Linked DNA regions of Xenopus tropicalis. The protein of the gene in region 1 interacts with the protein of each later gene in a biochemical or structural test. Links are inferred from orthologs where the notes say so. Each region holds a gene or a part of one and is shown on either strand. Other genes may lie near its edges.

Region 1 (4,929 bases):
CTGACATTTTTCAAATGCTCCTGAGAAATGTATCTAATTTTAACATTAACAGTTTAAAAGGCAGTTAACCTAATTAACAAATTAAAATGGGGGAGGAAAATAAAACTAATTTGTTTTTAAAAACCTACATTTTATAATACATTACAAAATGAAGACATTATGTATGGTGTAGTAAATGAAATTATGTTTGTAAAGGTGCCTGCTCCTTTAAGAATGTTACTATACATTTAGAGATGTACTCATGGGTCAGTAGGGTTTTGATGGAAAGTAATTCAGTCATTCAGATATTGATGTGCTGTTAATTTAACCTTCCCATCAGGAAAAAGTAAACTGCATGTCGGCTGTTTTGCTGATTCAGCAAGAAAACTGAACCAAAAAAAAATTTATTGATGAATTTTACCCTTGGAGCTTTCAGATAAACTCCTCTAAACCTTTTATTCCTTTATTTTGTTCAAGTTTACAAACCTTCCACAACACAGTCGAAGATTCATATGAATTTCAGCCAGTGAATATTTTATATTAAAACCCACACCAAATAAAAACAGACTGTGCAATGCAACTTGGTTGAAGTTGATGTACAGTTATACAAATGTAGTCACAATTAAAGGGCTTTCTAAAATATTTTTCAATAATGGATCAGCTATTAACTATTTAATTTCAGTGTCTACACTTGACCCCTGCATTTGGGCAGGCTTTCTAATAAAATAAAATGTAGTGACAGATGACAGAAATCAACACTTGGTAAATAATGTACTAGATGCCTAGGTTTTACCATACCAGCCCCAAGGCAGCTTCTTTTCCTATCTTCGAACTGAGAACCCCCTCTGCCACCACTCCTGCACTCAGACATGGGCGAGGGGGGCTTCACAACTTGTCTTAAAAGAGTCGTACCAGCCTAGGGGTACATGGGCCCTATGACAATGAAGAGCCATGAATGAAAAGTTTTCCTTCATCTTGTGTCAGCTCTTTTCCTAGTGACAGAAGCAATGCATGTATTCAGTGTGGCCTGCATGCTGGAGTTATTACTCGTGACTAGAGCAGATCATGCATGCCCAGTGATGCCACCAGCAATGAAAATAGGGGACTAAATCCTTAGAGGTCATCTGTACCTACAGGCATGTACAGCAGCCTTGTACATAATATTGGTCATATCTTGCCTTATGCTAGTTGCCCTATAAATATTTTGGTCTACTTAAGGAAAATAACATGGGAAGGGCCCCTGCATTCCTTTTCTAAGAACAGATACTATATATGCCACTGTTGGATGTGCAGGGCTCTGGGCCATTGGGAGGCTGGGGGGCAGATCCTGGTGCAGATTGTATTCCTTTCTCTCATGGTATTTATTCCACTGAGTGCAAAGATAAGTTTTCTATTGCTCCCTGGATGATTAATTCAGGGTGCATTTAACAGGGTTATGTCATCACATTACTCCTTTTATTATAATACAAAATGGGCTTTTTGTTGGAGCCCTGCAACTCTGATCCTGAAAGTATATTTAGAATTCCTTCCAAAAAAGCAAGTGTGAGATTTTGTTGTTTGCCAAAGAGCAAGTAAATTAGGTCACCAAGAATCCAAGAAACTGATTCCATTAAGCAAGCATAAAATATAGCAATAACTTTTCCTGAATCAGGGGAAGCTGGTTGTAAGAGGGCAAATAAATAGGCCTGATTGGGGCATAACTGGGCAGGCTGGTGGTGTACCTACAGGAGAGTCTACATTTACTAGAAATGACAAAGGTCAGAACCGGTATTGCAGGTTTACTGGCAGAGTCAGTATTTTACCAACTAGGTATGTGTAATAGCAGCCGGTAGCAACCTTAACCAGGTAATGTGCAAAAACTAATGAGAAATGCTATTACACAGCAGGTATAAAGCATATTGCTTTAGTCATTATACGTGATGCTGAAAATTACGGCATATACAGTGAAAGGCTTGAGGCAAACAATAGCAATAATAGAGGCTTTAAACTCCCTAATTAAAGGTAACTTTGAAATCATGTCCTAGTGTCCCTATGAGAGGGGATTAAAAAAACAGAACTGCAATATCACATCCTTCCTGCAGAAGAGCCGAGAGAGAGAGGAGACCTCCCCAACCTGTTTAATAATGCAGCTGATATCAGATAGCTCTGCATGGAGCTTTTGGCTGCAGGCAGCAGTAGGGATGAGGAGGTGACCTCTATGGGAGAATTTCTGTGTGAACACTGACTGCAGACAAACTGATGTAAATCCTAAATCTAAGATCATGATTTGGCTTCAGCAGTTAGTAATCCCTCTATGCTGTGCCTATCTCCTAATCTCCATTTTATCCAAGTGTGCTGTGATACACAGGAGAGCTGCTGCACGCCTCCAACACAGAGACAGAGAGATAACCCTGCTGCATTTTATCACCATTGCTAGGATCACAGCTTTCCCCTGCATTTACTGCCTGTGCATCACCATAGAAATAAAACCACAAAGATGAGGCAGATTACTGAGTTACCTCAATACATTTCATTTTGACCTGGATTTCCATGACAGCTGGCATTGTCTTTTGTTTAACCCATGGCATGCTGAAGTTTTATTGTGTGTATCATGGTTATCAGTCAGCCAGTGGGGTACCAAGCCCCATCCTTACTACAGTCATGTGGGGGTTCCCATGGGATATATATTATGGGAAAGCAGAGTATCAATTCCAGCCTACCCCCGGATCCTGCGCTAGTATTTACATCTATTATGGGGGGGAGGGGGGGATTTCTAGCAATTACACCCATATAATCAGATGTATTGATGCACACACTCCATATAGCAACAAATCACAATTGCAGCGATAAAAATAGCCTGGAGATGCCCCTGGGGGTTAACCCTTACACAGCCAGAGCGCTGCTCGCCTTGCACAAATGCCCCGAAACCTGCTGAACAGATGAATCCGTGTCATAGTCGTTGTTCCCAAAATAATGTAGGCAAGAGCCAGGGCGACAGGGAAAAGGGAAGGACCCCTCTGCAGAATGACAGGGGGCTGCAGCCATGAAATCGCTTGATTTACCTGAGTGGCTTTGTGGAACTGCTTCTTGAGCCCTGCTACCGACATGCTGCAATATGGCCGGGTCCCCTCCTGCTGCTGTTGTTGCTGCCTGGTGTCCGGGTGAGAGGTGCAGATGGCCGGCCTCGCTCGGGACTGCAAGGGAATTTCTCCTCTCCTGCTCGGATGGCAGTAATCCTGTGATGCTGCTGCCGCCTTAATGCAGGGACACCGTGACGTCAGCAGGCAGCCCGCCTGGCTCCTCCCACCTGCCCTCCCCTGTGTGGGGCCTCCCCCAAGTGGCGGCGCATCAGGGGATTCTATCACCTTCTGGGTGCAAATATTTCTCGCTATAAAACCAGATAGGAAACATATTCTGTTAATGCCTTTAAGAGGGGCCTGGATGAGTTCTTTAACAATCAGAATATCCAAGGCTATTGTGATACTAATATCTACAGTTAGTATTAGTGGTTGTATATATAGTTTATGTATGTGAGTGCAGGGCCGCCATCAGTGGGGCACAGGGGGTACTGTTGTGCCGGCCCGGACGATATCCTCGCTTTAAAGGGGGCCCGGCTGTGACACAGTTTTTTTTTTTTAGCTGTCTGTCCCCAATGCATACATCACTGCCAAGCACAAAGCACTGGACCTGGGGTATCCCTTATAAGGGGTCTTTCCGTAATTTGGATCTCCTATCTTAAGTCTACTAAAACTTACATTCTCTTTAAATTAAATGTCTTTCTAGTCTGTCCCCCACTCCCAAATTTGATGCTGCTGTTCAATGTTCAAATTATTTGGGTTCAAGCCCTGCTTAGCTAATACTTAGCTTATACATTTGTTGAACCATATCACTCATTCTACTATATTTACAACAATATTCAGTAAATCAATTACATTAGGTACCTTCATTGGCTATCAGTCTAGGCTTTAGGGGATATCTAGGAAAGCAAGTTAGCACTCCCCAAATCTCAAACTAACTGACCATTAGCCTTGGGCACTTTACTATGCTTTGGGCTCTTCTAGGGGGCAAAACCTCACAGCATAATCATAAGCATAGCATCTTTGTCATTTCACTGTTTCTGGTTGTTAAATAATTCAATAAACTTAATGTAAAAAAGGGAAAAAATGCTATTGCAAGGTGCACATGTTTAACCACAAGATACAGTAGAGAGCTAGTGTACTGGAAATAGTAGGATGAGGTCCCCAGAGAGATGTGACAATTTCACTGCACAGGCATCCCATAACAGTGTAGGGTAACCTGAAACACCCTGTGCTACGTGTGTACTACATTACTGGTGCTTGAACTATGCTGAAAGGTGACTGTGTGATAAAACATTACTTTGTAGTGGTTCAATATTTGTTAAATAATTGTCACACATTGCTTGTAACATGCATAATGCTGGACTTACATTTCCAGGAATTATAGTTCATATCAATACTGTACATTTAGAACGCTTATCTACTGGGTGTTAAAAAGGGTGGGGAAAATTAGATTTGAAAAATAGGGGTTCTTCGTTGTCACCTGTATAGTACCCACAGATGAAATCCCTAGCTGATCAGTGGCCACCCCTGTGATTGCTAATAAATACTGGTTTCTACTATACATCCCTTCCTTAGAGGTATATTTATCATGCTGTGTAAAAAGTGGAGTAAACCATTACCGGTGATGTTGCTCATAGCAGCCATAGCAGTTGAAATCTAATTGCTGATTGGTTGCCCTGGGCAACATCACCGGTAATGTTTCACTCCACTTTTTACACAGAATGGTAAATATACCCCTAGTGCATGTGCAAAGAATCTTTCTTCGCCTTTATCTGCAGCCTGCGCTAAAGTGTCCCCCCATCCCAATACAGTATACGGTATGTTGCCATACTGTAGGCAGCTCCGTATGTAGATAGAACTGCCAGTAATGGAACACATTCAGGTGCACTGG
Region 2 (4,402 bases), on another chromosome or scaffold:
TTAAAGGCCAGTGCTACAAAACATAGCTCTAAGGTAAATGAAGCTGATAAACCACACAGACAATATCCAAACCTAGAATCTCCTTTGTTGTAGTCCAATTAATAAGCTGCAGGCAAAAGTCTTCCTCTGCCATCTGATACATGATACTGTCTGTGTGTTTTAAATGGACTAGGAAAAACCTACGGGGAATTGTGGCAAAAGGAACTGCTAACACAAAACACAATGAATATATATATATTGCGTATGATTTGTAGCATGGACGGTACATAGGAGCAGTTTGTATTTTAGCTTTAGTGTTCCTACAGCAGGTTATATGGTGACAAATTAGTGATTAATTGAATGCTTCTAGATCATTGTACCAATATATCATGCAATATCATGCAAGTAGCGTAATGAAATATGCAGTTAGTAACTTATGGCCAGTCCTTTTTTAAATAAAAAACCTGATTAGTGCAAAATCTCAATGTTTCTGTTACACTAGTACATTATATTAGTGCGGTAAGTACCAAACTTACCAGTTGCAGTTTAGAGACAAACCCAGAAAAAAAAAAAAACTATCATTAAGCAACTCTACTGAGTAGGGCACAGCTAAACCTTTAACAAAAGAACCACATTTACTGCCTGATGCCTTATTTTATTTCAGTCTTTCCCATTGATTTATCAAATATTAATTGAGAAGCCCATTGTTTGGTCCCAACCATGGGTTATCCAGAGTGACTGTCAGTAGCCTGTGATTGTCACATCTAATATCCAATTAAACACCATGGTGTAATATGGCAAAGTGTGCCCCTGGGAGCCAATCATTAGCTAGCTTTTATTGCCCTAAAGCAGTGGTAATAACTGAATTGACCATCTAACTGGCCTCAGTAGATTACTCCACTTTAAGACTATAGCTGCCTTTGCAAAAAGCAAGCTGTTTGTTGTATTGATGCTGTTTGCACATAATGATTTGTATCTTTCTATAAAGACATTAGGCCAGATGTGTACCCTCTCACAATAGGTTTACATTAAATTACTTAGGGCAGCGACACACGGGAAGATTAGTCGCCTGTGGTATGGCATATGCGTCAAGTTTCCTCTGAAGACAACTTCGGCAACTGTGGGACATCGCAGTGCCATCCCACCGGCGATTTATATTCTAGCTGGTGGGATGGCATTGAGGGAGATTAGTCGCCCGCAACAATGGAGATTTGTCACTGTGCGACTAATCTCTCCGTGTGTCACTGCCCTTAGAGGCATGGGGCTGATAAGGAGAGGAGTAGGGAATTTTTAAAAGCTAATTTAGAAATTAAAAAAAAACCAACCCACAGGCATATATATTAAAACACATTAATTTTATTTCAAAGGGCACCTAGCACAAAAAAGAAGTTTTTTTGCAACTAGAGGAGAAGGTTAACAGAAACACTCTAGCCAGTGCTCTGCATCCTATTATGGGTGGGAGGGTACACAAAAGCCTCAGTTCATGATGTGGAATCAGGGAGCATATTGACTGTTCATACATTGTACAATAAGCGGCCAGGAGCACTAGCTCCTATTGTACATGCGTGTGGCCCAATATGGGTTCCTGCTTATGGAGCTGCCATTGTGAGGGTGCAGAGCTCTCCCTAGGGTGCTTTTAGCTGAAGCATTATATACACATTGCTTATGGTCTTCGAGCGGCTGCACATGCTATTTACAGCAGTAAATGTTACCTAAACGTAGGGATGCACCTAATCCACAATTTTAGGATCCGGCCAAACCCCAAATCTTTTGTAAAAGATTCCAAATACCAAACCGAATCCTGCTGAAAAAGGCAGATTCTTGGCCCAATCCTGGATTTGGTGCATCCCAACCTAAATTTAGTATGAATTGGTAAAATAACAGATTTCCAGAACATCCTATAAGTCTGCTTTCCAGATAATGTATTCCAAAACTTTTATATGGGGCCAGTAAATAAAGAAACTGAATTGGTAGAAGTTTTTTTTTTGAGAGGATATTTTTATTTCCCCTTTCAGGTGAAACTCAGTGACTGGCCACTTTTATTCATTTCATTTTTATTAAAAAATCATTTGCAGATGCAAGGAAGAAATGGGTACTAGCCAACATAAGATACATGGTCATTTTCCGAGGCATGACAAACGCTGAAAGCCGATATGAGTCGATCAGTAATGGAACTAACTAGGGTGAATTGCACAACATTATGGGTAAATTAGTCAGGTACCTGTTACCCTGATGGTTGCTCCTGCTTGTGATAAAAAGACATTAAAAGATATTAAAAGAATAAAATTAGGTGAACAGGATCCAGACTTAACATGCAGAATACTTTGTCTACTAAATTGTTTGAAAGAAGAAAAAAAACAAAAACAAAGGGAGCCTATCCCTCCCCCCCCCTCCCATGCTCTATATGTGATGCAGTGTTTCTGGTGCAGTTAGTAAGTCAGTTAGAAAAATGGCAAATAACCATACAATATCCTGTACTTTTGGAACTGCTTATTGTTTCTGGTGCAGTTAGTAAACAAGTCAGTTAGAAAAATGTCAAATAACCATACAATATCCTGTACTTTTGGAACTGCTCTTTTTTTCCTACATAGAGATGCATTTGTTTCAAACTCATACTTTGTGCCTTTTATTACATATGTGGGCAACAGAATTGCTTAACTGCCCATACAAAGATTTAAAAAAGTAAGCAGAATATCTGAAGAACTAATGTCAAATTAAACATCCTGGTGTCTTCCTTTGGATACCCGACTACAGTACTATAGCAATTTCCTGCTGATGAACGACAGCCTGATATAGTATGAAGTCTGTACGAATTCTCTTGGTTTACAATGTACCATGAAGCAGAGACACTTACCTGCTGAGAAGCATTTTGGTCAGTGGGCAGGTTCTGGGAGGAGCGGCTTCTTGGAGGAGGGAGTGGAGGAGGGTCTAGATTTTGCTGTAAGGGTGGAGTCTGGGATGCGGCCTGTACTGCTGTAGGTAGAATAGGTTCAGGCAGTTTTTGGCAGGGTGGTTGGGAATTTGGACTGGTTTGAAGAGGAGCCGCAGGTTGAGGCTTCAAGGGCTCAGGAAGTAACGGAACACCTAAAAGGGCACATAGCCAGATATAATTAAGTTGATTAACCAACACATTAATGCATAAAATATGGGACATCATTTAGTTTAAATATGCTATAGAGCTATTATAGCCAATTAAAGAGGTGGTTCACCTTTACATTAACTTTTAGAACAGTTAAAGAATTGCCTATTCCTAGCAACTTTGCAGTTGGTTATCATTAATTATTTTTTTATAGTTTTTTAATGATTTGCCTTCCTCTTCTGCCCCTTTCCAGCTTTCAAATGGGGGTCACTGACCCCAGCAGTCAAAGACGAATGTTCGTCAAAGATAAAATTTGATTGCTATTGTTACTTTTTATTACTTGTCTTTCTATTCAGGCTCTCTCCTATTCATATTCCCATCTCTGTCTGGTTGCTAGGGTTCTTACTTACCCTAGCAACCAGATAGCTGCTGAATACCAAACTGAAGAGCTACAAAAAGCTAAATAACCAAAGAACCATTCAAAATAAAAAATGAAAATGGATTGAAAATTATATTTGAATATCAATATCTACGTGACACCAAACGTTTATTTAAAGGTGAACAAACCCTTTTATGTGTTACTTCTGCCATTTACATTTGGATCTGGTTAAAAGATGGTAAAGCAAATGGAACAATTTTTATTCCACCTTCCTCAAAATAGAGTTCCAGTGGAGAAAATGCACCATGTGCCATAGGCCTAGCGTATAAACTGACATCACAATTTTTCTTTAGATGAGCAGGAATTTGCGTCCAGCAGCAACCATAGGTCTGCCATTTGCACACCACATCTCATCAGGAACATACCAATACCTGTGTTTGGTGCCCAACTAGAAAATATGTATGTATATAGGAAGTTAAGACTGTACTATACCTCTTGCAGGTTCGGTGGGCTTGTTTGGGACCTCAGGGGTTGTTCGAGCAGGAACAGGCCGAACATGGCTTTGTGGAGCACTGATAACTCCAGCACGAGGAGGAATGGTCTGGTAGGATACAAAATAAAGCTTCAACAACAACAAGAGCAGCAAGGCTTTCTTTTTCTCACAAACCTAATTTTCTATCGACTGTCGAGTCAGCCAAAATGACAGAAGGTGGTGCCGTGACTCTTTAAACTGGCGGTGCAAAATAAATAAATCCCACAAAAAAATTACATTATTGTTACAATGTTACATTAATTTATGCCAAGGATTAACACTTCTGTTAATTTGCTAGTCTTGTTTCCATAGAAACATGATGAACAGTATTGTTCGGCAAGAAACAGGAGCATCTAACAAATCCTAACACCAATATAAACAAAATTCTCACATTTTTAAATATGTGTTTTTTTGTTGTTTTTTTTTTTTTATT

The links.
Region 2: the proteins of sh3gl2 (region 1) and synj1 form a complex in vitro, tested with the Homo sapiens proteins (2 studies listed by BioGRID and IntAct, with this or other methods). The link is inferred for Xenopus tropicalis from reciprocal best matches to the Homo sapiens genes SH3GL2 and SYNJ1.

Annotation. Positions count from the first base shown.
Region 1 is NC_030677.2:118,224,913-118,229,841, reverse strand, and holds the start of sh3gl2 (endophilin-A1), read right to left. Parts: upstream 3,099-4,929; 5' UTR 3,066-3,098; coding exon 3,021-3,065; intron 1-3,020. UniProt on the Homo sapiens protein: Implicated in synaptic vesicle endocytosis. May recruit other proteins to membranes with high curvature. Required for BDNF-dependent dendrite outgrowth.
Region 2 is NC_030678.2:15,168,032-15,172,433, reverse strand, and holds part of synj1 (synaptojanin-1), read right to left. Parts: intron 4,039-4,402; coding exon 3,930-4,038; intron 3,064-3,929; coding exon 2,834-3,063; intron 2,225-2,833; coding exon of another isoform or gene 2,204-2,224; exon of another isoform or gene 2,201-2,203; intron 1-2,200. UniProt on the Homo sapiens protein: Phosphatase that acts on various phosphoinositides, including phosphatidylinositol 4-phosphate, phosphatidylinositol (4,5)-bisphosphate and phosphatidylinositol (3,4,5)-trisphosphate. Has a role in clathrin-mediated endocytosis.